Mus musculus: one gene and its partners. The main gene of each other region encodes a partner of the protein of the gene in region 5 in a complex. Links are inferred from orthologs where the notes say so. Each region holds a gene or a part of one and is shown on either strand. Other genes may lie near its edges. The genes, in order: Thoc3, Sarnp, Thoc1, Thoc7 and Chtop.

Evidence for each region.
Region 1: Chtop (region 5) and Thoc3 share a complex: the UniProt entries of both Homo sapiens proteins name them as parts of the transcription/export (TREX) complex. The link is inferred for Mus musculus from reciprocal best matches to the Homo sapiens genes CHTOP and THOC3.
Region 2: Chtop (region 5) and Sarnp share a complex: the UniProt entries of both Homo sapiens proteins name them as parts of the transcription/export (TREX) complex. The link is inferred for Mus musculus from reciprocal best matches to the Homo sapiens genes CHTOP and SARNP.
Region 3: Chtop (region 5) and Thoc1 share a complex: the UniProt entries of both Homo sapiens proteins name them as parts of the transcription/export (TREX) complex. The link is inferred for Mus musculus from reciprocal best matches to the Homo sapiens genes CHTOP and THOC1.
Region 4: Chtop (region 5) and Thoc7 share a complex: the UniProt entries of both Homo sapiens proteins name them as parts of the transcription/export (TREX) complex. The link is inferred for Mus musculus from reciprocal best matches to the Homo sapiens genes CHTOP and THOC7.

Annotation. Positions count from the first base shown.
Region 1 is NC_000079.6:54,465,375-54,471,821, forward strand, and holds the start of Thoc3 (THO complex subunit 3), read right to left. Parts: upstream 3,467-6,447; 5' UTR 3,434-3,466; coding exon 3,167-3,433; intron 2,609-3,166; coding exon 2,452-2,608; intron 1,011-2,451; coding exon 806-1,010; intron 1-805. UniProt on the Homo sapiens protein: Component of the THO subcomplex of the TREX complex which is thought to couple mRNA transcription, processing and nuclear export, and which specifically associates with spliced mRNA and not with unspliced pre-mRNA.
Region 2 is NC_000076.6:128,844,273-128,850,037, reverse strand, and holds part of Sarnp (SAP domain-containing ribonucleoprotein), read right to left. Parts: intron 3,507-5,765; coding exon 3,455-3,506; intron 1,802-3,454; coding exon 1,728-1,801; intron 1,278-1,727; coding exon 1,249-1,277; intron 1-1,248. UniProt on the Homo sapiens protein: Binds both single-stranded and double-stranded DNA with higher affinity for the single-stranded form. Specifically binds to scaffold/matrix attachment region DNA. Also binds single-stranded RNA. Enhances RNA unwinding activity of DDX39A.
Region 3 is NC_000084.6:9,988,509-9,994,175, reverse strand, and holds part of Thoc1 (THO complex subunit 1), read right to left. Parts: intron 4,486-5,667; coding exon 4,402-4,485; intron 2,049-4,401; coding exon 1,901-2,048; intron 1,345-1,900; coding exon 1,269-1,344; intron 856-1,268; coding exon 560-855; 3' UTR 1-559. UniProt on the Homo sapiens protein: Component of the THO subcomplex of the TREX complex which is thought to couple mRNA transcription, processing and nuclear export, and which specifically associates with spliced mRNA and not with unspliced pre-mRNA.
Region 4 is NC_000080.6:13,957,580-13,963,927, forward strand, and holds the start of Thoc7 (THO complex subunit 7 homolog), read right to left. Parts: upstream 3,625-6,348; coding exon 3,606-3,624; exon of another isoform or gene 3,485-3,605; coding exon of another isoform or gene 3,289-3,484; intron 2,638-3,288; exon of another isoform or gene 2,487-2,637; intron 53-2,486; exon of another isoform or gene 1-52. UniProt on the Homo sapiens protein: Component of the THO subcomplex of the TREX complex which is thought to couple mRNA transcription, processing and nuclear export, and which specifically associates with spliced mRNA and not with unspliced pre-mRNA.
Region 5 is NC_000069.6:90,497,953-90,503,717, forward strand, and holds the end of Chtop (chromatin target of PRMT1 protein), read right to left. Parts: intron 5,331-5,765; coding exon 5,144-5,330; intron 4,302-5,143; coding exon 4,164-4,301; intron 2,563-4,163; exon of another isoform or gene 2,429-2,562; intron 2,156-2,428; coding exon 1,950-2,155; 3' UTR 587-1,949; downstream 1-586. UniProt on the Homo sapiens protein: Plays an important role in the ligand-dependent activation of estrogen receptor target genes. May play a role in the silencing of fetal globin genes.

The DNA of each region.
Region 1 (6,447 bases), on a different chromosome or scaffold from region 5:
TGCTTCCTCCTGGGGCTGGAGAAACGACTCAGTTAGGAACACTGGCTGCTCTTCCAGAGGACTCGGGTTTGATTCCCAGCAACCATGGCAGCTCACAACCATCTATAATTCTAGTTCCAGGGGACAGGACACCCTCACACGGACATACACGCAGGCAAAACACCAAAGAACACAAATTAAATAAAATAAATAAATCATTTAAAAAGAAGAAGGGGGCTGGAGAGATGGCTCTGTGGTTAAAAGCACTGGATGCACCTCCAGAGGACCAGAGTTCGATTCCCAGCAACCACATGGCAGCTCACAGCTGTATCTAACTCCAGGTTCAGGAGACCTGACACTCCAGTCAGCAAGCACACAAATGGTGCATAGACATACATGGCAGGCAAAACACCCATACACATAAAATTTAAAAAAAAAAAAGAAATAGGAAGGGCATTAAGATACACTAAAACCCTCTAATCTTGGAGAGGAGAGGATAAAGTGACTTTGCTAGAGGGAAAGTGATATTTAAGCTGAAACTTTTAGAGAGAGAATTAGCCACAATTCAAGGTGCATCAAAGTATCCTGGGCTGGCTGACTAATAATTGAATGTTTACAAGCCTCAGTTCCCTCAGGATCAACAGAAAAATGTATAATCAGTATCAGTAAGAATTCATAAAATCCAGAATGCCTAAAAGAAGGTAGGATTTTTTTCTTTAATACTCTCTCTATCTTTCAAGTCTTTTGGGACAGGCTCACAGTTAACTCCTCCCTGCAAGGCAGGGTGGCCATTGCAGAGGTCTGACAACCCCGGCCAGTGCCTCACCTGAGGATGTTGATGCAACCATTGCCGTTGGTCAGGAAGAACATGTTGTTGTCGTTGTTCCATGAGATCTCATTGACCTCAAACTTGAACTGCTCCTCCGCTTTGGAGCGGTGTGTCTTGGCGTCAATGAAAGTCACAACGTCGTCCTTGTTGCCCACAGCGATGGTCTGCCCGTCGGGACTCCAACAGATGTTAATGTTCTCCCCTGGGAACCCAGATATAATCCGTCAGCAAGCTCACCTTTGCCCATCGGCCTCCAGAGTTTATTCTGCTCTCCTGGAAAGAAGATCAGAGCTACCTTCAGCACTTATTCCTCACCAAATCAATGGAAGGAAGCTTCCGATGACCAAGAGGCGACCGTGAGTCTAGACATTTGTCAAAGCACCTCCCCACTCCAACCCCTGGCACCAGTCTCATCAAAGTCACGCGTGTCCACACTGAACACAGGTTAAAATTTTCAACTTCATTAAACCTTTTTTCAAAACACCTTTTTTTTTTTTTTTTTGTACTTTACTGTCTATAGTGCAGTTAAAAATCTATCAGAAGGTGTATCAAGAATTCTATTGTGGGAGCTTGGTGGTGATGATACATGCCTTTAAACCCAGCACATGGGAGGCAAAGGCAGGTGGATCTCTCAGTTCATGAGTCTAGCCTAGTCTACACCGTGAGTTCTAGGATAGCCAGGGCTACACAAAGAAACCCTGTCTCCCCCTCAAAAATATATGTGTACATATATATGTATATATATGTATGTGTGTGTGTATACACACACACACACATTTTCTCCCCTGTGGGGCTAGAAATGGCTCAGTGGTTAAGAACACTTGGGTTTTTTTCCCTGGAGACCCAAGTTCAATTCCCTGTACCCACAATTCACAATCACCTATAACTACATTTATAGAGGACAAGACGCCTTCTTCCAGCACCTATACACATGTGGTACGTGTACGTACACACGTACACACACACACACACACACACACAGATGAAAATTAAAAAAAAAATCTAAAATCAACAAAACTGCCTGCCTTACTTTGGGTTTTACTGCTGTGAAGAGACACCATGACCGAGGCAACTCTTATAAAGAACAACATTTAATTGGAGCTGGCTTACAGGTTCAGAGGTTCAGTCAAGTATCATCAAGGTGGGACCATGGTAGCATTCAACCAGACATGGAGCAGGAGGAGCTAAGAGTTCTACGTCTTAATCCAAAGGCATACAGAAGAATGGCTTCCAGGTAAGCCAGGATAAGGGTCTTAAAGCCCACACCCACAGTGACACGCTTCCTCCAACAAGGCCACACCTAATAGTGCCATGCCCTGGGCCAAGCCTACTCAAACTACCACACTGCTTCTTTGAACACAGCCTTTAAACAAAACGCACAACTTTCCAGATCGCCCATGGTTTCTCAGCCATTGTAACCTGCCTGAATCTCCCAAACTCTCCACGCCTCTGCACATACTACTCTTGTATAGTTTCCACTGCTCTCCTATACATCTACAGCCTGCCAGAAAAGTGCTCTGTTCTGTTCCTGTCTTCTCCAGACAGACACATACAACCCATCCTGATAACCTGCACTTGCTACAAAGATGCTTGCTGCAGATCACACTAGCTTTTCCTCCAGAACCCCCTCTCTCTGAACTCACCTTTCGTATTCACAGTGGCGATGCATTTTGTAGTCCTCACATCCCAGATGCGAATGGTTTTATCTCCAGATGCGGTGACAAAGAGGTCAGGGTTGCTTGGGTGCCAACAAAGCTGGTCCACACTATCTCCGTGGCCCCGGTAGTTGTTTTCTTTGACCTTAAAAGAACAGAATCCAGATGCCACTTTTATCCAAACAGTGGTGCCTTGAAACCAGCAAAGATCTGGATAATTCAAAACAGAAATCTAATTCTTTTTCCAAAACTACAACACCCCCTCCCCCCCCCCCCCATGAACCTCTCTGAGCTTTGACATTGGCCCTTCCTGGCCTCCCTTCTTTCTTTTTCCACCACCACCTCAACCAACCTGTCCTGCGCTATCATTTTCAAATAAAGCCTTCCTCTCCACCCTAGGGGCTCTACCACCCCATTAGTCCCTAGCCACTCGTCACCAGGGCTCTTCTAGACCCTCACCACTTTCTGCCACCTGACTTCAACCTCCCCCGGCCCGCAGCCACGTCGCCACACCTCTTTACTGCCACTAAGTTCGCTCTCTGCTCTCCGCCAGGCAGCCTCACCCCCTTCGTCATTCCAACTCTTCCAGCCCCAAACCCCTTCCTCATCACCGCCAACGACAGGCCATACCCCTACCTCTCCTGCTTTTTCTCCCTCCGCACACAGCCCTCTTCTCCGCCAAGCCCGTGCCCTACAAGCTCACCAGCCGGTCCTTCTCCAGCAAGAACACGCTGGCAGTCTTGTCGAAGGACCCCGAGGCCAAGCGACGGCCATCGCAGCTCCAGGCGACCGAGTGCACCTTAGCACTGTGCGCCGGGAATTCGCGCGTCTTGCTGTGGCCTCGGAAGAGCTCCTGCATCCCGAGCACGTAACGAGACGGGCCACTGCTCACTGAGCACCAGGGCGCCATCGAGCCGGGGCCGCTCTGGCCGAGGGCCGAGGGGCCCAGGACCGCAGCGGGCGCCGCCATGCCTCCCTCCTCACGGACCGCGCGCCGGAAGCTGGATACTCTGAGTCTGGCGCCGTCGCCCTGCACATGCGCCGAAAAAGCGCCGCGTCGCTCCGCGCTGGCGCCTCTCACTCGCGGAACTACAAATCCCGCCATGCAGCGCGCGTCCACCTTTCCCTTTTGAAATAGGACTGATTCTTCCTTAAATTCGCTTTTTTTTGTTTGGTTTGTTTTGTTTTGTTTTGTTTTCGAGACAGGGTTTCTTTGTTTGTTTCCTGGCTGTCCTGGAACTCACTCTAGACCAGGCTGGCCTCTAACTCAGAAAACTGCCTGTCTCTGCCTCCCAAGTGCTGGGATTAAAGGCGTGTGCCACCACTGCCCGACTTGCTTCCCTCCCCCTCCCCACCCCCCACCAAGAGTTCAACTTTTTTTTTAAATGGTCTTCTTACCAGTTTCTTGGTAGCCTTGCTTATTCAAAAAAGAGAGTCAAGATAAATCCTCCAGTTTACCTGCATGTAAAATATCTTTTTTCTAGAGTTGTTTTTCACTGTAAGGTCCTCATCGTGCCCTTAAAGCAAAAGGCCATTGCAAGTTGTCGCTCCTGGAGAAAGGTTAGATGTTTGTGGAATGAAGGAATTGATAAGAAATGTGGGTTTGAGCCGGGCGTGGTGGCGCACGCCTTTAATCCCACCACTCGGGAGGCAGAGGCAGGCGGATTTCTGAGTTCGAGGCCAGCCTGGTCTACAACGTGAGCTCCAGGACAGCCAGGGCTATACAGAGAAACCCTGTCTCGAAAAACCAAAAAAAAAAAAAAAAAAAAAAAAAAAAGAAAAAAAAAAGAAAAAAGAAATGTGGGTTTGTCGGTTGGACTTGGGAAAAGTTGTTCGGTTAATTTGAGATTTGGTTTGTTCGGGGGTTTTGTTTTTGTTTTTAGTTTTTGAAGACAGGGCTTCTCAGTGTATCCCTGACTGCCCTGGAACTCACTCTACAGACCAGGCTGGCCTCGAACACACAGACATCCGCCTGCCTCTGCCTCCCAAGACGTTTTTCTGTCTTTTGATCTTGGTTGTTAAAGGATATTGTATATACATGATAGTAAACTAAAAGAAAATAGCGGAAAGTACAATGACCATTTTGTGTGCCATGCTCACATCTCTGATCCTCCCACTTATGTCTCTGTTAAACCAAAAGATACCCGGGTGGAAAAAAACAATGGTGCACAGCCAGGATTCGCCAAGCACTGGAGAAGAACTGTGCAGGGATAGGGGACACCAGAGGAATATATCCAACAAATATTCGTGTGAAAATGTCCTTATGAAGCCAGCTGTGGTGTCGCAGGCTTATAACCCCATCACTGGGGAGACAGGGACAGGCAGATCCCTAGGACTCACTGGCTAGCTGTCTAACTTCCTTGGCAAGTCCCGGGCTAATGAGTGACCCTTTCTCAAAACAGAACAAGGGATGGTGCCTCAGAACCACCTCCGTGTTGTCCTCTGGCCCCCACATACACACGTGTACTCACACATGCATATCCATGAAATCATTTTAAATGGGTCTATCCCTGAATACCGTGTTCTGTACTCTGTCTGGGACTGGAATTCCTGTGTATTTTCCCTACATATTCTCTTCTGTTACTTTCAGTAATAGCTATCTCCCTACCTGAATATAATTTCTTGAAATCTGTCATTCCATTGTTTTTATGACCCAGCAGTCTTGGCCCCCTCCACTGGTATTTTGCACATAGTAGGCACCCAATATTTACTAAATAAAATGTGAGAAAATGAAAGAAAGAAATCCTTATATAACAGTACCCTACACAATGAATATTCACAAGAAAAAATATAATTTTTGATGGGGAAGGGGGGTTTACGACAAGATTTCTCTGTGTATTCCTGGCTGTCCAGGAACTTCCTCTGTAGACCAGGTTGGCCTTGAACTCTGAGGTCCATGTGCCTCTGCTTCCCAAGTGCTAGGATTAAAAGAGTGCTCCACCATGCCTAGCTAATAGTATCTTTAATTTTTTTTTTTTAAGGAAAATAGAATCGATAGAGAGATGGCTCTCTGTTTAAGAGCACTTGCTGTCCTAGCAGAGGATTGCTGTTCCCTCCCCAGGCACCCACAAAGTGGCCCACAACTCTTGGTAACTCTGGTTCCAGGAGATCTAGCGCCTTCTTCTGGCGTCCCAGGCCCCATGCAAAAATCCTCCTTCACATAAAAATTTAAGGAAAAAAAAAAAAAGGAAAAGGAAAAAAAAATGTGTGACCTTGCAAAGACGCTGCAGGGTTTATGGGATGATGCAGCCTTCCTTACATAATTTGCTGTCTTTCATAAATATATATAGACTTCTAGTTGGGGATTGATTTTTGTTCTTTTCTTTTTTTTCCTTGAGAAGGGGTCTTGCACAATAGCTCAGTTGGAGAAGTATAATAGTTTAATTCAGTTGCTTCCTTAATGAATTATTGCAATGAATATCCCTATACAATCTTCATTATGCACTGTGCACTTTCTTTGGGTAGTGTTATAAAACAATTAAAGAGGAGTTTCTAAGAATCTGCAACCATCCATATAAGGAAATATAGATCCTAAATAATAAATGAAGCCACGTAAGCACATAGCTCCTGCTTCTACACTCTCCTTCCTACCTCGTCATAATCAGAAAGTTTTAGAAACTGCAAAGATGTTAGACAGGACTAAAGTGTCAATAAAATCACTAAAGTCTTTGGGCAGAAAACTATGTGTTATCTCATTTTCCCTCCTTCCCTTCTTTTTCAAATATTTCATGTGACTATATATCTTACAGACACTGAGGACTTGTGCTTCTTATATTAGGTAAGGAAACTGACGAAAGGGACAAAATGGCCTTCCCCAAGTCACAGGCCTAATATTTGATAGAGAAAAGTATTTTGTTTGTTTTTGTTCTTGTTTTTGTTTTTCCAGACAGGGTTGCTCTCATAGCGCTGCTTGTCCTGAAACTCACTCTGTAGACCAGGCTGGCCTCCAACTCTGAGATCTTCCTGCCTCTGCCTCCTTAGTAC
Region 2 (5,765 bases), on a different chromosome or scaffold from region 5:
AAATAAATTCTCTCTGACTCCAGTTGCCTTCCGTCATGTATTTTATCAGGTCAATAACAAAGTAACTAATATAGCATGCGCGCATCGGAGGATGACCTTGAACCCCAAATCCTTTGTTCATTTCTCTTGCATGCTAGGCAAGAACACTATAAACTGAGGTACAGATCCAGCCACTAGGCCCTTTTTTTTTCCTCTTCCTCAAGACAGGGTTTCTCTGTATAGCCCTGGCTGTCCTGGAACTCACTCTGTAGACCAGGCTGGCCTTGAGCCTGCCTCTGCCTCCCAAGTGCTGGAATTAAAGGTGTGCACCACCACCATCCTAGCTCTTGTTTTGAGATAGTTTTTAATATATAGCTGAGGCTGGATTTCAAATGGCCATTCTCTTGCCTTTGTCTCCCAAATGCAGGAACACACTGCTATACCCTATCTTAAAGTACTGTATTTTATGTGTACATGTGGAAACCAGAGGACAACCTCAGGTATGGTTCCCCAGGATCTGTTTACTTTGTTTTGTTCTATTGAGAGAGGTCTCTCATTAGCCTAACATTCACCAATTAGTCAGGACGACCAGCCAGAGCCCAGGTACCCGACCCGCCTCTGCCTGCCAACCACTAGGATTATAAGCACGCATTACATAGCCTGCTTTTTTATTTCTTTTTTTAAATGTGAGTTCTGGGGATCAAATTCTTTTCAAGCACTTTACCCATTGAGCTATCTCCACAGCCCTTAACATATCGTTTTTAACATTCTACATAGTCTAATATACTACAGTTTACACTTAACCAGTTAATACTGTATTGGATACATGTTTTTTTTTCCAATTTACTGATCAATATATATGGTGGTAACACAAGCCTCATGGCTAAGTCTTTAAGTATATCAGAGGTTACTTCTTGATAAATTCTTAAAAACAAAATTGTGAAGTTAAATACAGTCTCCTTCACTTTAATACTATGTTAGCTCAGAGCACTAAAAAAGTACACATAGTTTTATGCTAGTAAGACACAAAAATAAATGAACAAGGTACTAAAGATTTCTCAGAAGTCCTAAAAAAGAAACCCAATGGTGCGATCTCCTCCCCATAACTTCAGGACGTTCTCTCGATTATTCATGAGGTCTGAAGGGTACAAATGCAGAGCCTCTTAAGGGCTTCTAGAGCCAACAAAGTTATCTAATTTGGAGGAATGAAATCTATAGTCAGAAAAAAACCCAAAGTAAACTTTCTCAGAAGAACCTCTGTATTCTCACCTTTTGTTGGAACTGAAGAAATTCCAAACCTGTAAGAAGAAAAAACAAGCTAAATTTTAGGAAGCTGTTCACACCCTTAGTTGTCTGTGTCCGTGTCAAGGGTGCATGACACTTCTTTCTTGTGATCTCAAACTTTGCAATCATTAGCTAATTCTAACAACCCCATGAAAGAGGTTCAGTTTACTCTCCTTCTCACCAACAGTCCAGGAGTCCACTAAACGAACTCTTCAGACTCAGGAGCAGCTGCCAGTTCCTGACTTTTACCTATCATAAAAACCCTGACCAAAGATGGCAAAACTCAGTGAAAGCTATAACATCCAAATCAGCAGAAATGTCCTGAGTATGACCCAAACTGTATTCATTAAGTTCAATGAAAACACTTCTACTGAAAACCAACAACTATAACAAGAAACAAAGATCTGACCCCCTACACCACCATAACATTTCTATCTTGTATCCAAACAGGTAGAAGCACTCACCTAGCCGCCCGGGCAGCCTTCTTACTCTCCAGGCTTACAGGTACATTGAATCGTTCAGCCCTCTTCTGCATTCTCTAAGTGATATTAAATGAAAAAATTAAAACTGTAATTTCTTGTTTAAAAAAAAAATTGGTTATGGTCATTTCTTAAGATCTAACGGAAATACTGACAACTTTAGACCATATCAGGTAGCAGCCATTCTAAGGCTTAACACAACAATTGTTTCTAGAAAGCAATCAATCAATTAATCTCTCTCTCTCCCCGTATTCACATTCTCAAAAACAAAAAGAATAAAATCCATATTCTACACAAACCCCAAAAGTTCTATCTTGTTTGAAAAAGTGTATCTTGGGGGGGGATAGTATATCAAAGGAGCATATTGGTTCCAGTACAGGTAATCTAAAAACACCACCACCACCACCACCACCACCATCACTTCCTGCCTGAATTCTAAAAGAAGTGAATAAATCTCAACTATAAGCCAGGCATAGAGGTACACTCCCAGCATTCAAAAAGCAGAAGCTGGTGGATCTCTGAGTTCGAGGCCAGCCTGGTCTACACAGTGAGTTCCAGAACAGCCAGAGCTACACAGAGAAACCCTGTATAAAAACAACAACAACCCCTCTACCTTGAAAGTACAAAACTGAACACAAGATCTCAAATGAAACCTGATTTCAAACATCTTGAGATAGAATCCAAAGAAATTTCACTCTCACCAGCTAACAACTAACAACTTAAAGGAGTATCTGCCATTGCTATTTTTCCAAAGTACACACAATCCTCTCAAACTCTAATCCTATACCTATAGACTTATTAAGTTACTATTAAGGCTACAGTGGTATATGTAATCTATGACAGCTTAAAGATAACAACTCACTATGCCAGTCCAAATATTTTCCTGAGTTGGTGGAGAAAGAAACATCAATTGTCAATATTCCCCTAATTCCCTTAAATAATTTGTCTATGAATAAATTATTTACATGGATCAAACTCAGGCTTTAGCCACAGAGATCTTTACCCAGAGTGCCAACTTAACAGCCCTAAATGAAAATTTTACATAATGATGATGACAGAGAAAAGGTTAAAAACAGGAACAGCCAGGCATGGTGGCACATACCTAGAATCCTAACACCCGAGATGCTGAAGTACAAAGATTTTGTTTGGGGCCAACCTGAGCTACAAAGTAAATTGCTATTCTAAGGAACAAAAAATAAATATAAAAATGAGAACTCAGTAGTTGAAAGTGCAGGCTGTGCAAGTCTGATAACAGGAGCCCATGTAAAGGCAGAATGTGCTAGTATACAGCTATAAACCAAGTTTTCCTGTGGCAAGATGGGAGGTTGTCATCTTCTGGAAGCTCATGGGCCAGCTAGCCTGGTGTACACATCACAGCACTGGAAACAAGAGTCCTGACTAAGTTCAGCAAGATAGTTCAGTGAGTAATGTTCTTTAATGCCAAGCCAGACAACCTAAGTTTTATCTCTGCAACGCACATGCTAGAAGAAAAACCAATTCCCCCAAGTTGTCCTCTGACCTACACAAGCGCACTCGCACACAAACACGGCTCCCCCATATATAAATAAAATGTAATTTTAAAAAATGTTTTTAAAGGAGAGACCTCTACCTCAACAAAGTGAAGGCAGTCCTCTATCCACACATATACCATGGCATTTATGCATTCACAGCCCCACCCACACCTCAATTAAAATTTAAAAAAGAATACTTACTTCAGTCTGAGGTATCCCAGATGTAATCTTTACCACCTTCTTTTCCGATGCCCTAAGAAGACAGATTTTTAAAAGTCAGAAAACTGCTATCTTAACCCAAAGCATTAGAAATGTGCAAGAATCACCTGAGTTATATCCTCTGCCCCACATGTGTCTACCACCCCTTAATCCAAAGAAACATGAAGTCCATAACAAGTCTGACTCCTTGAACTGTCATCAACTGAGAAGAAAAATTAAAATAAAACTAAGTTATTTTAACTGAAGTTCGAGACCATAATCAGCAAAGAAGTCAGGCTAAAAATACAGGGATGAAGGGACACACACATAAGTCATTTCATTTGCTTTTAGACACTTTATAGTTACTTTTGAACTAAGAACTGTATCTCCAACCTCCAATTATATACAAACTCAATTTTTATCACAATATTTAACTAGCGCTGAACCAGCCCTGATTTCCTTCTTTTATAAGTCCCTATTGCTCCCGTGGGATTGTAGCTCTAGCTGAAACCGTCAAAGCAGAACAAATAAAAATGCCACAGGAAGTGGGTGGGAGAAGAAAGGCTGAATTAGGAAAACATGGCGAGTTACTGGTCAAAAGGCTTAAGAGAAAACAAAAGAGGGGGACCGCAGGGGCAGGAGACAAAGTTCGGAAGTCCCCAGGATAAATGGAAGGGCATTAACTCTCCAACAAACAACTCCCATAAAACTGCGGGTCATAACCAGTCTCATTAAGGTCCCTTATTTAGAGACATGGGCAGCTTTTGTTCCAATATCCCAAACACTTTTCCCATTTGATGCCCTGAAAGGTAGTAATGGTTTAATGACATTTTCAGAGGAAGCAATTCTGGAACCTGATTCTCCTCCATCTTTTTGTTGGAAGTCCTTAGACTAACAGGCAAGCAAAGAATGCCCCCTGCTGACCATAAGGAAGTCCTACAATATTTGTTTTGGCTCAGGAGAAAAAAAAACTTAAAACAAGATAGAGAAGTATATTTACACATAACTTCAGGCGTAAGATGATGTAAAGAGATTTCCTTTTGGATATACAAGGGATTCTAATCAGCCTTGGAATATTCAGACTGTTTGCTAACTCTCCATTTTTTTTTATTGCTGTTGTCTGAAACATGGCCCCTTTCATTCAGCCAAAGCTATCTTCAAACTCCTAACTCTCCTTCCTCCACTTCTCTAATGCTGAGATTACAGGTGTGCACTACTATACAATCCCCTACCTTTTTTATCTTTTTAATGCTGGGTGTCACCTTATAACCCTGGCAGGCCTGTAAATTCCTATATAGAACAGATGGCCTTGAACTCTACTTGCCTCTGCTTCCTAAGTGTTGGGATTAAAAGAATGGGCACTGCCAGACATGGTAGCACTCACATTTAAGTCCTATATTTGAGAGGCAGAGACAAGAGGTTATCTGTGAGTTCAAGGCAAGACTGATCTATATACTAAATTCCAGAACAGCCAGGGCTACAGAGACCCTGCCTCAAAAAACAAATACCAGTGCTCAGGAGGCAGAGGCAAGGACAGCCTTGTCTACAGAGCAAGCCCCAGAACAGCCAGGCTGTCTCACAAACCTTGTCGTGAGACAAACCAAACAGGCCTGATCCACCAGGCCCAGTAAAACTGTTTTTAATGAAATTGGACTTCAAGTAAAACATAAACTTTTACTTCTTTTTTCCTAAGACAGGGGCAAAAGCTAGGTTTGGTGGCACACACCTTTTAAATTCCAATCCTTGAGGGGCAGGGAAAGCCAGAGCCAGTCTTCTCCATCAACATCAGGATAATGACTTCCACGTTTTGATTTGGTTTATTTTTTTGTTGTTTTTGAGACAGTACCTCAAATACTTGGCTGAGAATGCTACCAACTTCTGATCCTTCTGCTTCCACCTCTCTAGTGCTGGGATTATTAACACACAACACTGCATCTAGTTTCACTGAGAGCTGGGGACTTAACCCAATGTTCACATCTTGAAAAACAATCATTACAGTAAACCTCAGAGTAAAAAGAGAACCTGAGAGGGAACTTCTCATATTATATTCCAATTCCCTTAGACACATTAAACCCAAGCAATAAATGCACATCACACCCTCACAGGATTCATGGGAAATTTCTATTCTTAATTGGCTAATTTCTCTATTCAGTCACATACAAAATTATTTCCCTAAATATAAGGACTCAAAATCTTTCCATATAATTTTGCCTAAAACCATAACTATTTCTCTGCAAAGCAGTATTACTATATCCAATTCTGTTGGTATAATTCTGTGAGTTCAAGGCAAGACTGGTCTATATACTTAATTCCA
Region 3 (5,667 bases), on a different chromosome or scaffold from region 5:
AAGCTAAAGGAGTAGTTGGGTCTTAGACTCCACTTCATATAAACTTAGAGCTAGCAAACAAACATTTTCTGTTTTGGACAAACAGCTAATGATTTGGTTTTTGCAGGCCCCTGGCTATCAGTTTGAACTCTTTGCTATTGTAGTGTCAGCATGTCAGAGTGCCAGGAAAACACTTAAAACTATCCATGGTTTGCTGATCCTCTTCTCTCCAGTCCTAAGGTTTCAGAAGTGTCATCTTGTAATTTCAGAATAAAATTTTATAACCGATAGCATGCAGGAAACTAATTTGGGACAGTACTGTTAGTAGTACTCATTTAACTTCACTGTAGAAATACTTAACAAAAATTGGTGTGATCTTGAGGTCCTTTTACTTTGTTTTCCCACCCTGTTCTCCACTCCAATGCCTGTTCTGTATGTGGTTTTTGGAGCACCAGCCAACTGTACAATAGCTGTTATAAAAGTGTTTATTGTTTACCAAAACCAGTGAACCTTTTATCAAATGCTGCTTGGTAACAAAATCTTATCACTGTTTAATAAAAAAGAAAAGAAAGGAAGAAAGCTAACTGTTTGTTTCAGTGTCATTAGTTAGACTTTCTGCAAGGTCACTTAATCCAGACTTGTTTAGTGCACTAATCAGGTTATCAGTTGTTGCATGAACTCCTTCTTGATCTTGCCAGGCAACAAGGAGCTGCTTGGCTCTCATCTTCATGTCTTCACTGTCACACTCAATCTGCCTAATATCAGAGTCTTTAATTTCCAGGTAAGGAGCCAAAATCTTCCACTGCTCACCAAGTTTGTTGGCAAATGACTCTATCTGCTCCCCTGTTATAGGTTTATCTCGCCGAACATCTGGACCTAGAAAATATAGAGATGTGCAATTAAAGTATCTGAAATAACTGCAAAGCTGAAATGACCACTGGGTTACTAGTCCCCTAAAACTTTACTTTAAAACTTGAAAATTTTCCATAGGCGTATACACTCAAAGCTATTTTAATTAGAAACACTTTCTTGTAGAGGAGATGCTCCAATTCCCACTAGTTAGAGTTTAAGCTCTGCTGTAAAACACCTTTCTTCTTTACCTCTTAAAATTATCATTTCCACATTTCATCTATAAAATGTGTTTTAAGTGACTAGTGTTTTAAATTTCATATTTTAAGTCAAAAGATAGAGATAAAATGGTAGAACTGAGAAGTAGATCAAATTAGCTCAACAAAGATCCCCCAGCCTTTTCCAATTTTGTAAAAAAGCCAAGAAAATTCAGTTCTTACTTTCATTTTCCTTTAGTAAAGCATCATTATCTTCCTCGTCTTCATCCTCACCTGTCTTTATTTCTTCAGAAGGGGGCTATAGTAAATGAAGAACAGTGATGTTTAAAAGGACACCAGTTTCTGAAGATAGCTAAGGTGTACGACTTTGGGTAGAAAGAAGATTGAGAAGCATAGGCAGGTTTGCAAATACCTAAGCTTTAGGCAGTACTGTCTAAGGGGCGACAGAAAACTGATAATGCCCATCATTACCATACTGTTACAACAGTGGAAGAGAGCAGAGTAGAAGGGGCTCTGCCAGGTGAGCTACTGCCACTCTTAGACCCTGCTTTTGACAAAAGACAGTAAAACACATTGGCAATGTGGAAAATCTGATCTAGTTTACTGAAGATAGTAATTTTAACACTTTGGGTAAATTGCATGCTGCACAGAAAATTACCAGTATCTCTTACTCTTAGTTTTACATTTTCTCTGTAAATATATTCAACAACATCCTCACCCCCATTCTAAAACATGATGGTCTGCAGATTACTATTTTTGTGAGAAAAGCTAAAGTGAATTCTGCTCAAATAATAATAGTTTTAAAGCAGATCATGTCTACTAGGGTAACGGGAACAATGAAGTGCATCACTTACTGGTAGTTCCTTGGCCAGCTTTATCACCATGTTTTCCAGATACTCTGGTAGACTCTTAAACTGCTGGTTGGTTGGCTGAAAGAAGTGAGGGCTTCTCCGGGCTAAGAGTCTAAGAGCTCTCCATCCATAATTTGAATTATTTACGGCTCTATAAGAAGAGATGTCAGCCTTGTAATTTATAGTTACTCAGTTCCATAGTTATTTTCATGTAACAAGTGTCACAAAATTTTATGCTCTCTTGCAAATAACAGCTCAAAGTATACCATCTTATAATTTGAAAGTATATATTTTGCTTTATTTTAGCAAGTCAATGGTCTTATGTCCCTAGTCCTGGCTACTAGACACTATGCATAGAAACCACCCAGTTATAAAGAAAAGAAAAAGATAATTGTATCCATTATCTGTAATGTTACCTATAGATGCGTGTTTAATCTAAAGCCTAAATGTTTCAAAATCTAATTTGTCTTACTTGCTAAAGTCTAAAATGTTACAAATCTGGAAAAAGAACACTTAGGGCTTCAAGTATTTTGTAATAGGGACCTGTATTTAAGAGTTGTATTATATAATGGCTAATCTTTAATTCATATTAACATCAACCTCAATGAATTAAAAAATGGCTCAGAATGCTAAAGCAGTAAATATCCAGTGGCCGCAGTAATGACATACTGATGTCAAGAATAGAATGGGAAACCGAGAAACAAGGGACCCATGAGAAATCTTAAACACCCCACTCCCACCACCACCAATGACAGAACTGCAGCAAGTACAAATGGATTCCACTTAGGACTTTTTAGGATTTGCCCACCTCGGGAACCCCAAATACAGACTTGCAATCTGATTTATTTAGTGGTGTATAAACAGTTAACTTTAAGTATGAGAAAGATTTTAAGCATGAGATGAGACTTGGGCATATCTTACTTTGTTATTATTATACTGATAGACTTTGTAAGCCACACTAACCTCAAACTTAATCTTCAGCTTCCTGGGTGCTAGGATTATAAGGTCTGTGCTAACCAAGCCTGCTGCTGTGCATGCATGCACATGTGTATTTATTTTAGGCAGGTTCTTTTTGTTTTGTTTGTTTTTTTTTGAGACAGAGTGTCTCTGTACAGTTCTGGCTGTCCTGGAACTCACTTTGTAGACCAGGCTGACCTCGAACTCAGAAATCCACCTGCCTCTGCCTCCCAAGTGCTGGGATTAAAGTCGTGCGCCATCACCGGCTTAGGCAGGTTCTTACTGTATAGACCAGGCAAAGAAATCACCGGCACTGGGATTAAAGGTGTGTATATCTATTTTAGATTACTAGTCGGCCATCACTGGGAAGAGAGGCCCCTTTGCATTGCAAACTTTATATTCCCCAGTACAGGGGAATGCCAGGGCCAAGAAGTGGGAGCGGGTGGGTAGGGGAGCAGGGCAGGGGAGAAGGGGATATAGGGAAAGCATTTGAAATGTATATAAAGAAAATATCTAATAAGAAATAAATAAAATTAAAAAAAAAATTCAATTGTGTATTGTTTTGCCTGCATGACTGTGTCATATGCATGCAGTGCTAAAGAAGGCCAGAAGAGCACATTACATCCTCTGGAACTGGATGGTTAGCCACCATGTGGGTGCTGGGGATGAAACCTGGATCTTCTGGAAGAGCAGTTAGTGTTCTTAACCTGAGTCATTTCTCCAGCCCATAAAGATCACTCTGGTGCAAGGAGAATAGAACACAAAATTAAGAGGTTGGAGTATGTAAAAACTTACCACAGGGTCAAAGCTAGCTATGTCATGTACTAACTACATGCTATGCATGGATCAAAATCAGTTATTTAATCTTCAGAATGTGAAATGAGTGGTTACCATGTAGCAAACGAGAAAAGTGGCACAGGGCTTATTTGTTAGAGCCTGGCCAGTAGTGGTACACGGGAAGAGAACCTATGCATTTTGACAAGAGGGCCCCTGCCTTTAAATCACAATTCCAGAACAGCTTCCTAAAAACTAAAACTGCTGTCACATGGGACACTTTAGAGAAAAGACTGAATCTTAAAAGTTACTGCAGGAATTTAGAGTAAGACAGCAGGTGTGGAGGCAGGTGGAGGGGGCAGCAAGGTGATGGTGAGTGGTTCCACCAAAATTGAGACAGGTCTATTGACAGATGCTGTTGGGACCTTAAAAAAAAAAGAATACTGGAGTGATAGGGAACACAGTCTCAAGTGGGTGGGCTGACCAGAATGGGAGGCTGGTGAGGAAACGAGGTCAAAACCTAAATTGGCTAGCAGAAAAGACTTGTGGAGAATAAACAGTAGAGGTGAAGGTCAGAAGGAGGTATGGGGTGAGGGCTGAGGGGTTATTCTGTCATGTTTTGGAATTGACATGGAAATAAGGATGTTATAGTAATGTGAACTGCATGCATAAACTCATCTAAAAGCACTACTTTGCTGACTTAACTGTAGCATTCAGAGGATTCCCAAGAAAACATGCTGAAATTAGCATCATTTCAGTATACCATTACTTACTTATATTCACTTTCAACCATGTTTTCAGGATCTGCTTGTTCAATAGCTTCTTCAAAGAACTCCTCCAAAGTTGGCATGTATTCTCTGGTCATTGTAAAGTAAACAGTGAGGTTTATGTGTAGTACTCTAAAATGGTGGCAATATTAATTTTAACAGCATCCACATGTGATAATTACATCTAAGACCTAAATGCAGGGACTCTAGATCTCTTTGAGAACATAAAGACTGAAAGCTCAATTCTAAAATGGGACAATAAAGAAGGTATAGGTCTAAAAACGATTCACTCCATATTTCATCAAACCATGCACTGTGATAGACTGTACTATTCATTTTTGAAGACTTCTGTCTGATCTGATAAGCTCTGCCTATCATACCTTTATTCTTTTAGTTTCAACATGGTCATATCTTTGTCTTTATGGTGTTTTATAATCAATATGTAGGTAAAAATTTAAAATACCTATCAATCTTTCTTCACACCAGAATGCCTGATTTTTGTTCATTTGAATTTAATTCTCTGTGTACCTTTGGTCCTTTCTCTCTCTCTCTCTCTTTTTCTTTTCCTTCCTTCCTACCTTCTTCCTTCCTTCCTCTCTCTTTCTTCTTTTCCTTCCTTCCTTTCTCCCCTCTCTCCTTCCTCCCTTCCTCCCCACTCCCTCCCTCCCTCCCTATGTACCTTTGCACTCCTCATTTATTTTAGAGATTACATACTCTGTCTTTACAACTCTTTGAGGCTCTTATTCCTGTCTTCTGATTTTGTTATTGAAGTCTGCTGTTAGTTTAATTTTACTTTTGTTTTCTCTTTTCACTCACCCTTCATTTTTCACATAGACAGGTCTGGCTTATCTATTTAATGCTAAAGCCCAGATATCTTAAGCCAAAGAATTTACGAATTAAGCCTATTTAGTCCTGATCTTAAGAAGAGCTTCTTTCACATTCGTGTGCTCTCTCTGCTGGGCTTTTGCTCAGCTTTGTGTTGTATTGTCTCTTACGTCTCCCAGCTGATGGGATTACAGTAACGAGCCACCATACCCAACTATCTGGTCCTTTTTGACAGTGCTAAGTTTTTCTTGTTTTAACTGCTACTTCTTTATTTTACAGCCTTTATCTGATTCTAGTTTTATCTACTAATTTATGAGTATGAGTATTTTGTCTTCATGTCCATCTGTGTACCACTTGTGTGTGTCCTTGGTGCCCATGGAAGCCAGAAGAGGGTGTTGGATCCCCTAGGACTGGAGAGAAGGAGTGCTAGGAATAGAACTTGGGTCC
Region 4 (6,348 bases), on a different chromosome or scaffold from region 5:
AAGAATGCTCACTGCTCTTCCTGAGGACCCGAGTCCAGTTCTCATCACCCACCTGGGATGTCAAACATAAATGCAGAAGGAAACAGAGAGGGACTAAATACCTCCAATATTAAGTCTGGTAACTAAAAATATTTAAACTATGCTTTGTGACCATGCCAGCTGTACACTTTAAGTTCTGTGCATCATTACATAAGAATGTAGTATTACTATTTATAAAGGTTTTGCAAAATGTGCACAAGTCAAATAAACCAAATCAATAGCCCCAACCAACTTAACCTCCTCTGGTAGCTCGGACTATCCTGGCTCTGCCTTAGTCTCCTAATGGCTGTTACAGGGCTGAGGTACCATGACTGACTGACCAGAGTCTCTCTGTGTCGTCTTGGTGGCCCTTGAACTCACAGACACCATTCAGCCTTTACGTCTGGAGTGCTGGGATAGGAGGCGTGAGTCACCACACCCAGACTGACTGCACTATTTTGTAATTGGGTTTGATGCCTACAGAGGTCTTCTAAAGATCAATTAAATTAAGATCAACTCAATTAAACACTAACAAAGACTAGCACTTATTTTCATTATCACAGCAACAATTACTCGTACAAAAGGTGTGAGCAATTTGTACACAAGATGTGAGTGAATTCTGAGAATGGGAAGCCTTGCACTTTTGGTGTAGAATTAGCACCCATTCAGCACACTGAGGTGTCTAGTTAGAAGGACATACACCTCAGAGGAGGTAGAATTTGACTGGCTCTTTATCAGTCCATTCCATTTTCTCACCTATGATGCCCAGTGCTGGGGATGTGGCTTAGCTCAGTGGTAGATTACTTGCTTAGCATGCAAAGGGCTCTTGGTTCAACCCCTAGTAACATGCATATACACATAGTGACACACATGTTACTGATATCTATGTTCCAGCATCTCTCCCTCTAACCTTCCCCTGAACCTTGCACCTCATATTTGCTGATGGCTTATTTAAAACTGACTGCAGTTCAATTTTCTTCCCCCAAAGCAAAGGAAGGGGCACTTAATAGAGACACACTTCTCCATAGAGAAGTGGAAAGAGGTTACATAGAGAAGTGGAAAGAGGTTAGCAAACAACTTCTGTGTTTAGGAATATTTACTAAACTTTAGTATGTATTTGATTCAGTACAAAGTCCTTTATAACTTTTACTACATTTCATTTTCAAAACACCACTCCAAGGTAGCTTTTATTGTTTCTTCATCAATGCAGAAAATTGAGTCTCAAAGAAGCTGGGTAACCTCCACAAAGGGGAGAAGCTTGTAAATGTAAAGTGGGGCTTCCTCTGGCCTCCAAGGACTAGGGGCTCAAGTTTCCTTCTCTCACCAGCAGAATCCAGTCCTCTTTTGGAGCAAGGCACAGAATCGTCCAAGTCAGAAACCTAAGATAACCTCTGAGCTCCCGCATCTGAGCAGTCCTGACATTCTCTATGAGTTCTGTTCACTTTTTGAATTCCCTCAGTTGGAGTTTTGTCATATTGATCAAAGACCCCCTTACCTTCCACTAACCCACTACAGAAGGGGCTAAAATCAGACCACGCTAGCTGGGCTGAAATCGGCCTCAGCAGTTAAGAGCATCCGGCTGTTCTCCCACGGGGACTGAGCTCAATCCCAGTACCTACATACCAGTTCACTACTACCTGCACCTTCTTCAGCCCCACAGGACTGAATACTCTTCTAGACTCTGTTGGTTTTTAACTCACTGAAACTCTGTTATTTAATTCCTTTGGGTACTGGATTCATCTATAAAATGGGGATAACTAGAACACTGTGCAACACATGCTGCAAAATATTATATAAATGTTAGTGAAAGAGAGAGTGATGTCTGCAACCCCCTTCCCATTTCCTCAATATTCTCCAAAGAGTAGAATGGGTCTGTGAATTGTAAACGCACATCTGGTGCTGAAGATTTGGATCAGGATGTAAAACAGTTTTCTAATGAACAGGACTATGGGTTCTACTCTCAGCATTGCAAACAAAGGCGTCAGTTAATTAAATAAAAGCAAATGTGATCACATCACAGTAACAGTTTAAAACTTTCAATGACTGGACGCTGTGACATGTGCCTTTTGTCCCAGCACCCAGGAGGCAGAAGCAGGGGGAATCTCTGTGAGTTCCAGGACAGCTAGAGCTACATAGAAAGACCTTGTCTCTTTTTTTCTATCTTTTTTTTTTCTTTCTTTTTGTTTTTTTGAAACAGGGTTTCTCTGTGTAGGCTGGCCTAGAACTCAGAAATCCGCCTGCCTCTGCATCCCTAGTACTGGGATTAAAGGTGTGCACCACCACTGCCTGGCAAGACCTTGTCTCAAAACCAAACCAAATAACAACAAAAACCCTTTCACTGGCTTTTCCTGATCTTGGAAATTTCATGGTGTAAAGTTTTCTAAGTTCTATATGCCATCTTGAATTTCTTTCATCATTTTGGCAAGTGGTTGGTCACTTGTAATTCCAGTTTTAAAACACCTATTTACCCTTCAAAGGAAGGGGGAAAGCAAATTTGTCAAGTTTTCTAATCACCAGTAGAAAGACCACCTCAGTTCAATTCCCAGGACCCATCTGGTGGAAGTGAAGAAGTGACTTCAGCAAGTGTCCTCTGACTGCCACTCTAGTAGGGTGGCCTGCCTGGGGGAGGGAGGGAGGCAGAGACAGCTCAAAGAGAGGCAGGCAGGCGCGCGCGCGCGCACACACACACACACACACACACACACAGCCACCCTACCAATTTTTAATGTTTACAGCCACTGCAGACGTATAAGAGGAAACACCTTTACCTGCTGCTTCTGGGTATCAAACGTGTTCAGTAAAGTATTGCCTAGAAGTAAGCTAAGTACTTCCTGAATAAATTAAACTCGAATTAAAAAAAAACAAAACCAAGGTTAAAATCCCCCCTACCAAGTTCCGAGGCCTTTATTTATACCCACATCGGTATTTCCTCGGCCCGTCCTCAAATTTGGGCCGATCGTTGTTCATTTCTGGAAGTCCCCTGTTTCTCCACTGGGATCCATAGCTATTGATCAGCCCATCAAACAACATCAAGCCACCGGAACCTTTCTACCAAAGCGGGTACCTTCTCAGTTCCTGCTCCAGTTGCCTATCGTGTCAGTCCATCCTTCTCCCAAACGCGCTCTTATTTCTGCTCTCAGCCCACAGACATCTACTGTCCACCATCCATCACTCCTAATCCACTCAGGCCAACAACTCACCCGCTCCAACATGCCTTCCTTTTGTTGCCGCGGTCCAAGCCGCCGGCCTCTTCCCATGCTGGCGCCTTACCTTGTAAGTCGCCCAGATACACTTCCCGACCGGCCCTCCAGACACCCCTGTTCCTCTTAGCCGCCGTCCCCAGCTCGGGGTCCTCACTCCACCGCCCTCCGAGCTCCTGCGCTCCCTGGGGCCCGCCGCGCTGCCCGTGGGCCCGACCCAGCCCGGCCCGGGAAGCCCCCCAGGCGGCCCCCTCGGGGCACTGCATCGCCCGGGCCGAGCGAGCCGCCCTGCGCCTCTCCCCGCCGCGCACCGCCCCGGGAGCCCCCCACCCCAGACGGCCCGGATCCCGGCGCTGCCCCGCGTCCCCGCACCCGCCGAGGCCTCACCGTCAGTCACGGCTCCCATGGCGTGCGCGGCGGCGGCGGCGGCCGAGCTGAGGCGGCGGTTGGCGGCGAAGGTCAAACTCCCACAATGCAGCCGGGTAAACAGTCATGGAGGAGGAGGCGGCGGCGCCCGCCGCCCTCTCCGACTTTTGAGTCGCGCCGGCGCGCGCGCCGCGCCGCCGCGGACCCGCGCTCGCCGCTCTCCTGGGGCGCGGAGCGGCCGGCGGGTGAAGGGCGAGACGGGCGGCGGGAGGGCGGGCGGCGGCGGCTGGGCCCGGGGACACCGCCGTCCCGCCCTGCCCGCGCCCACAGGCCGCCCTGGAGGCCGCGGCCAGCCGCCAGGTGAGCTTCGGGCTGCGCGCGCTCGCGGGGCTCCGCGCCTGACGCTCCAGGTGACCTCTGTCCCGGGCTGCCCCGACCGTGCGCTCCGGTGGGACGGGGGCGCGGCCACTGCCGCCGTGGGTCTCGAACCCGTATTCTTGAGGCGGGCGCGGCAAGCCATCCTCCCTTCCTGAGCTCTGGCGGGTGCTGGCGAAGCGGGGGAAAGAAACTTGGTCACCTGTCTGGGGAGCGTCACTCAGGACCCAGGGCTCAGGTCCCTCCGGTTCTCACCTCTCATCCAGTTCTCCCTCGCTGCTGGAATCCAGATGGGGTGCCTTCATTTTCATACTAACTTTGCTTTTCAAAAACTGCTTCTTAAAGGGAAGTTGAAAGTAGGTGTTGGGGGTGGGGGTGCTGCTCATTGCAAACACATTACTTGGGGGTGCGGAGTACACATTTCTAGAACACACTGCAGGTTATAGTGTCATCTCTTCTGAAAAATGAAATAAACCACCCCCCTCCCGGGGGGGGGGGGGGAGTCGGGCAGTGAATGCGCTCGCCTTTAGTCCCAGCACTTGGAAGGCAGAGGCAGGCAGTCGAGGCCAGTCTGGTCTACAAAGTGAGTTCCAGGACAGCCAGGGCTACACAGAGAAACCCTGTCTCGAAAAACAAAAAACAAAACAAAACAAAACAAAAAAACAAAACAAAACAAAACAAAACAAAAAATCATTTTGATTCAACATTGAGGAATGTTCTCCTAGTGGAACCATGTTCCTGTTGAGAGTTGATTTGACCTCCAACAGGGTAGAGTTTGACTTTATAACCCAGGTTTTTGTTTATCAGTTTTCATGATCCCAATCCCTTGAACCTTCAGATCCTGCATAAGGCAATGGTGTGGGGTCATTTTTTGGTTGTTGAGATTTCTTAAGTGGGATCCATGCATCGGCCCTGTGTTCCCTCAGTTCTTTCTAGCGGAAGACTTGGGATCATTCAAGGGAGGTGGTTTTTAACCTCTAGGCAGAACTATGTATGGGTCAAATACAGTATCTACTTTTGTCACAAAGGCAGAAATTACCCTGAATGAAGATTTTGAAGCATAAATGACCTCTTCCAAATGTGGAACTGCTCGCTGACTTTTTGAAAGAGTACTGGTCTAAAGGCTCCTCCTAACTTGGACTTTGGACCATGTTCATTTCCTTGGCGTAGGAAGGAGGGTAATATTAATCTTAAATTCAGCGGGGTGGTGTGTGGTAGCCTATCTGGGCTGGCAGGTTTGTGAATTGAAGCTAATCTGGGTCTGAACATTGAATTTTTGGCCAGCTGGGCTACATAGGCACACCGACCTCCTTCCCCGGCCCGCCCCCCCACCCCCACAAGCACCAAACAACAGAATCCCAAACCAAACCTAACCTAACCAAACCAAATCCAATTAATTCGTAAGTACCTCTAAACACTGTAAATGGAACATCACCTGATCATTTCTGTGTTCTGGGTAAGACTTTGCTAGGGAGACTTCTTGTTTACAAGAAAACTGCCAAGTAGTGAAAGGATACTTTGTAAGAGCATTTCTTGATTTTATCAGCATCTTGCTGACTTGGAAACAGTTATGTAATGACAGCAAATAATTGTTAATGTTTTCATGGGAAACTAGCACTGCCTTCTATAAGCTTCTGTGAGATAGCATGTCAGGTTGTCACAGACCCCTTTCATAAGTTTCTTTGGTTGCTCACAGTTTTCTTAGGCAGGGCTAAAATTTTTTTTAAAAAAGACTTGGAGTATATTTGAAATTGAACATTCCTGAAGATTATTGGCTCAGGTAATGGGAGACCAAGTAGTAGGATATGTCTGAGCCTTTGGAAGTCTTTGGAGTTTTCTTAAAGCCGTATAATTGAATTTATTATTGCATAGACAAGAATGTATAAGTTGAACACCTGAGAATTCTGTTTATTATATGATATGTGTTGATTATATGATATGTGTTGATTATATGATATGTGTTTATTATATGATGTGTGTTGAGAGAACACCTTGCAATGAACTTTATAGAAATGATGTTTTTATTTGCTAAGCTGTGGCTGATGTTAAAGTGGGGTGGACTCAAGCCCTCTGCTGTACTCAGGCTTCTTCTTTTTCTTTTTTGGGGGTGGGAGCATGGATCTTGAGAGGCAGAAACACAGAATGGTGATGGAGTGTGTTTTAAGCTACTGGAGGACTGACTTGAACATGCAGACGTTAGTTTTAACTGTTTACTGCAGTCACTAGTTCCTTCTTTTTAAGAACATGAGATATTAGTTAAGGAAGTTAGTGTATTTATTTAACATTTCCCTCCTGAAAATATAAAGACTGATGAGAGAACCAATGGTTTGGCCTATTTTTTTTGTGTCATAGCTAGGGTTTCTCATGCTGTGAGAAACATTTCAAGACA
Region 5 (5,765 bases):
TGATTTCTCTGTCTATATGGTCCCCACATATTTACTGCCTTTGCTTGTAATTTGACACGTAACCCAGGCTAGCCTCAGGCTCGTATGCAATCTCCACAGTGCTGGGATTACCAACAATTTTTGCCCTTGTCCTGACTCTTCTCACCTATCTTTAAACTTTCCTGAGCTTCAGCTCTAGCTGGTCAAATCTTCTGTTCTCCGAATGCACTTCTGTGACACTGTAAGACCCAGGCTGGTCTGGAAGGCAAGTCCTCGGAAGATGGCAACCAAGTAGGCTTCAGAGGCTGATCAGGAGTCAGGTTTGCTCCCTGGTCCACCTGAGGCGTTACCAGGAGATGACAGCAAAGGTGGAAACCCTGACAACTACACAGAGCAGGTGGATCTGAAGCTCACGGGCTTAGGGCTGGTAGGGGAATTGAACTTTTTTACAAAGTACTAATAGGTAGGTAGAAAGAGGGTCTAGAGTCATCACTTTCTTTTGCTGAGATCTACCCTTAAGCACCAGCTTCCTATACTCCAGAGTCCATCTTCCTTGAGTCCCAGAGATTCCCCACCTCAATCAAGTAAGGATTCAAAAGTCAGGTGATCTTGTTCAGTATTTTCTTCCTGGCTCTTAATGCACAGCACAGTAAGAGGCCTGTGATCTTTTCTCCTAAACAACCACGGTCCAGTCTACTAGTACTTTCTAGGCAGGTAATTCTTCCTAAAGGCTTAAAGGGGAACACAAGCTTTTTCTACCACAAAGCAACATTTCCTCTACCCCTAATATCTTTTTTTTTTTTTGAGACAGGGCTGGTGTAGCCCTGGCTAAACTGTAACTAATTCTGAGATCAAGCTGGCTTAGAACCCACCTGTCTCTGCTTCCCAAGTGGCAGATGGTTTGTACCACCCTCTTACCTGGCTCCACCCCAGGAATTTTCAACTATACAAGGGACATATTAACACACCACAAAAATGGTTATATAGCATTTTAAGACCCCCCCAAATAAACAGAAAGCCTGGGTTAAATTTTGAGAGAACAATTTGTTATAATGAATCAGAAATACAAGATTCCACTGAAACTGAACAGCTGACAAAATATGGTTGAACTTAAACCTTCAAGAGGGTCAAATAAAGCCAGTTAAGTGGAAGGTAACTGCACTTCAGCACGAGCAGCACATGAGCCCTTCCCAGCAGTCAGTTTGTTACCAGTTTCCCACTCTTGTCTCTTCTGCCACTTGTGCTACACCAACAGCTGCTTCTTCTCTGTGAGAGGTGCAGAAGCCTCTTGGGCATGAGACAGAAAGCCAAAAGGAGAGATTTATAAGCTTAAAAATCTTTTCTTAGGGTGGAAATTCCAACTTAGCTTGTCAGCTACCATCTATGTGGTTTCAATGTAGGCAACATCAACTTTGACCAAATCAAAGTTGGTACCACGTGTTACCCATTCTGTGGCCCAGTAGCAATACCAACATTTCCAATTTACTACCTTCACTATCAACATAGCAAACACACCTTTAGCTCCAGCTATTAACAAGAAGCTTTTAAAGAAAGATGTAGAACTCTATCCCAAAGACCACCCAATAGTGAAAACTCTAGCTCCTTCTGGGATCATAAAAATCAACAGAGGAAATATTTAAAAATGTCAAGAGTATATGACAGGCAGAGGCTAGAAAACTGTTCTACTCACAAGGCCAACGCATTCCTGTTCAAACAGATATCTGGGTGACTGGATAAACAACAAAACAAACTCAACCAAATTTAAAGGAAAATAGGGTTTCATATAACACAGTATCAAAAAGTAGACAGAACAGACTAAATGCACCAACTGGTGGCAGGTAAGTCCACAGCCTATTGTGACAGGTCCTTCCAGCATCGATCAGATTTCTTCTCATGTTTTCTCAAGGTTGTTTTATAGATGTGGTGACTTTAACAAGAGTCTAACAGGCAGGCGGGCAGGCAGGCAGGCTTCAATCATTGGTTTCAGGATCTGTCTGTGCCATGTAGGCATCCAATTCAGCATCCAGGTGTCCTTTAGTTTTCGACATGTATGCATCCAATTGGTTGTCCAGCTGCTCCTTGGTCAATACAGGGCGAGTGAGGGCACCTCTCCCTCGGCCACGACCTCGGCCTCTGCCTCCAAAGCCCCCTCTTCCCCGACCTATCATACCCCGACCTGGCCAAACGAGAGAAAGAGAGAGAAGAAAAAGACAGTTACACATTAGTTTGATGGGTCCTAAAAAAAAAAATGCCCCTTTATAGTTGTGGGGCCTAGCTGAGACAAGCTCAAAGACAGGGCAAAGAGGAGAGATCTGAAAAAACAAGAAACACACTGGGCAGAAAGCAGCACATGAAAAGCACACACAATGAGTCCTCTTAAGTATTCATCTCTAAATGCCACTATAAGAAAAAAAATCCTGCCCCCTCCCACTTTGAGACAGGGTCATACCATGCAGACCAGCTAGCCTTAGACTTGCACTCCTGGGCTGGAGTATAGCTCAGTTGGTAGGGTACTTGTCTAGTATGCACGAAGCTCTGGGTTCAATCCTTAGCCCCACAAATGCATACCTGTAATCCTAGTATCTGGGAGGCAAAAACAGAAGGATCAGAAGTTCAAGGCCAGTCAGGGCTACAGGAGACCCAGTCTCAAAAACAAAACAAGACCCTCCCAGTTGCTGGGATTACAAGTGTATAATATTAGCTGAAAAATATTAAACAACATTAACCTCCCCCAAGACCAAAGAATTATCTAAAGTTTGGGACTTACTGTAAATTCATAATTTAAAACATATTACATATAGTTAGGAGGTAGTAAAAGGGCACCCCCCCCCCAAAATCAAGGGTATTCATATTAAGCTTTAACTGAGACCTTTCTGGATTGTTATCACATTTGCTTTATAAGTTTATTAAGTTTAATGAAGTGATCCCATGTATCCAATGATTGAAAAAACTTAGCTACTTCTCTGACTGGTTACCTTAAGACAACTATTATCTGAGAAGTAATTTCAATTCACTAATCAAATACTTAACTTTCTCAAAATTGACTTTATTTAGTTTTTTTCTAACCTGTGAAGTCTCTCTCAGAAACGATGTCAATACAATCTGGAAGCCTTATCCTGAAACTCAACCTTGTACTTCATTCGATAAGTCAAGTGACATAATAGCAGGAAAAATAAACCTTTGTTATCAAATATCATTTCCTAAGTTGTTATTCAGCACCTTCAAGACTGTGGATTATGAATACCTGCCCCACATTTTAGAAAGAACGAAAACAAATATCCACAGTGCTTACTAGAGTAAGATGCTTCATGCTATCAACATGTATTGGGAGTTTCTTACTCAGTTATAAGCCAGAAAGCTCCCATGAAATTAGTTACTAACACCACCATCATTAAACTCTTTTCTAATCTGGTCCATGAGGTCACAGGACAAGAATCAAGGCATCAAAAGTAAGATTACTAACAGCTGACCAACTGGTTGTAACACATCTTACTTTCAACCTTGATCAGGAAAACTGTCTTTGGTTCCTCAAACACAAATGCTATGTTAAATTTACTTGATTTTAAAGCCAACAACAGGTGCCAGGTCTCATCCCACCACCTAATAGTGCTGCTGGACTGAATCTAGTCTCATGCATGCTAAGCATGTGCTGTACCACTGAGCTACATCCTCTGCTTCTGACCATTCTCCTTTATCTTTGCCTCACTTTCCTATATCTCCCTCTTATTTTTGTTTCTATGGTGTGGGACTGAACCCAGGATCTCACAAATGCTAGGTAAGAGCTGTATACTGTACTTTATTTCCATTCCACTTCTCTTATTAAAGTTAAACTGGCTTTGGGCTATGGGATGGGTGTGTAATGGTGGTGATGGTGGTGGCAACAGGCAGATACAGAAAAAGGGGACAATTCCAAACTAATCACTGCATCATTTTAATAACAACAACTTACATTTCTGAGAGCCTGTAGAAGAATGCCTGAAATGTGGCTCTAGAAAATGTACCTGTTAATCCTGACAGAGCTTTCCTTATCACTGTGTGAATTTAGAAAATAAGCCAGTTTCAAAAAACAAACAAGACAAACAAACAAGCCTGCCTATGACTTGAAGCTGTGCAGAAAGTTGGCTCTGAGTTTTGAAGGGAGGAAAGTAAGGGGAGCTATTCTCTGAAGTTGGTAGCTGACTAACCTCTACCACCGATTCCGCCACGACCCATAGCTCCACGCCCTAGGCCCCCTCTCCCAGGACCTCCACGACCTCGAACACCACCTCTTCTTAAGCCCATTCGGGGAGCTACGGCTCGTCCACCTCGGAGCAGGTTTTGACCTTGGAGAGGAGGCATACAATGTATATGCAGGTAAATCCAAGAGAGACAATGTAGATTGTAACCAAAGGAAGGCGGTGAGGGTTAAATAAGAATAATTAGTTAATTTTTAGTCTAGGTGGGACAAACTGCACAGTGCGTGTGTGAACAGGTTAAACAGCTCTTTATTCAATTTAGTAATTCTGACAAGCTATCTTTGGAAAAAGCTGGGACTTAAGTAAGTTCATATGTTTAGTAAATTAACAATCAGATGCCTAGCATTACGGTAGATTTGAAAATAAATGCTATGATTCTTGCTTTCAATACATTTTTTAAGGGGGCAAGAATTTTATAAAGGGAACAGTGTCCCAAGGGTATGATACAGATACGTAGGCACTATGGATCAAACTGTCCCCTCTCTTTCCCCTGTCAGATTAATAGTTTTTCACTTCAAGAAGACAGACAGTTAGTCATGACACAGGCCAAAAGACTCATATTTTCTCTCTTGGTATTGAGGATATTCAACCCAGGGCCTCGCACATGCTAACCATACATTTCTTAGATGTATTTCTAGAACTTGAATATGCTTTCATTCAAGCAGCAGCAGGTGTTTTAAAATGGAATGGAGATGACATGAATTACCTGTTGTTATGCAGGTCATAGCCTCTCACCATTACACATCATTAGAAAAGAAATGATATTGGTAAAACACATGCAGCAGTACTAAAAATATGATTTCAAAGCTATTAATTATATTAATACAAATTCAGGATTAAAAATGCTAAACAAATGTGTCGGTAAGCAGTCCAAGAAAAAGGGGAGGAGGATAGAGCCCAACCATTATTAGCTACACAGACACACTGACCTCGGAGCGACATCCCACCCCTAAGCAGGGTTCTGGTAGCACGTCCCCCACGTAGTCCTCCTCGGGGCAAGCCTCTCTGGATTATGGGTAGGCCTCTTCCTCCAATTGCTCCCCTGGCCAGGGCACCTATGGGTCGGCCTAACCGTGCCTGGATATTACTCTTACCCAGGCGCTGCTTTAAGCTCTTCTGAAAGAAAAGGTGTTAAGAGGATTGAGATCAACAAAGCAATTCCATGGGATTTGGCAATTTAAAGTACAGGACAAAAAGAGGCAAGTCAGACACTCGGGGTGGAAGGTATAAACCTGTTGTGGGTAACGTAAGGATCCCAAATCAAAGACTTTTCCTCAGAACATGGATAAAAGCAGAATCCTGAGCCAGAATAAAGGCTCTAAGAAGCTTTAATATCGTCTACAACAGCAGAGCCAGCACAGATAACCTTACTAATTTGGCTATTCAAATAATACAGCAGTAGCTGCAAACTCGCTGCTTCTGAGCCATAGGTTAACAATGATGTGACTTTACCCATATCTGCCTATGGACTACACTGTTTGCAAAGGCTTACTCACACACCATAGGAAGTGCGTCACATTCTGGGTAAACTTAAATTACAAGTTCACTTGA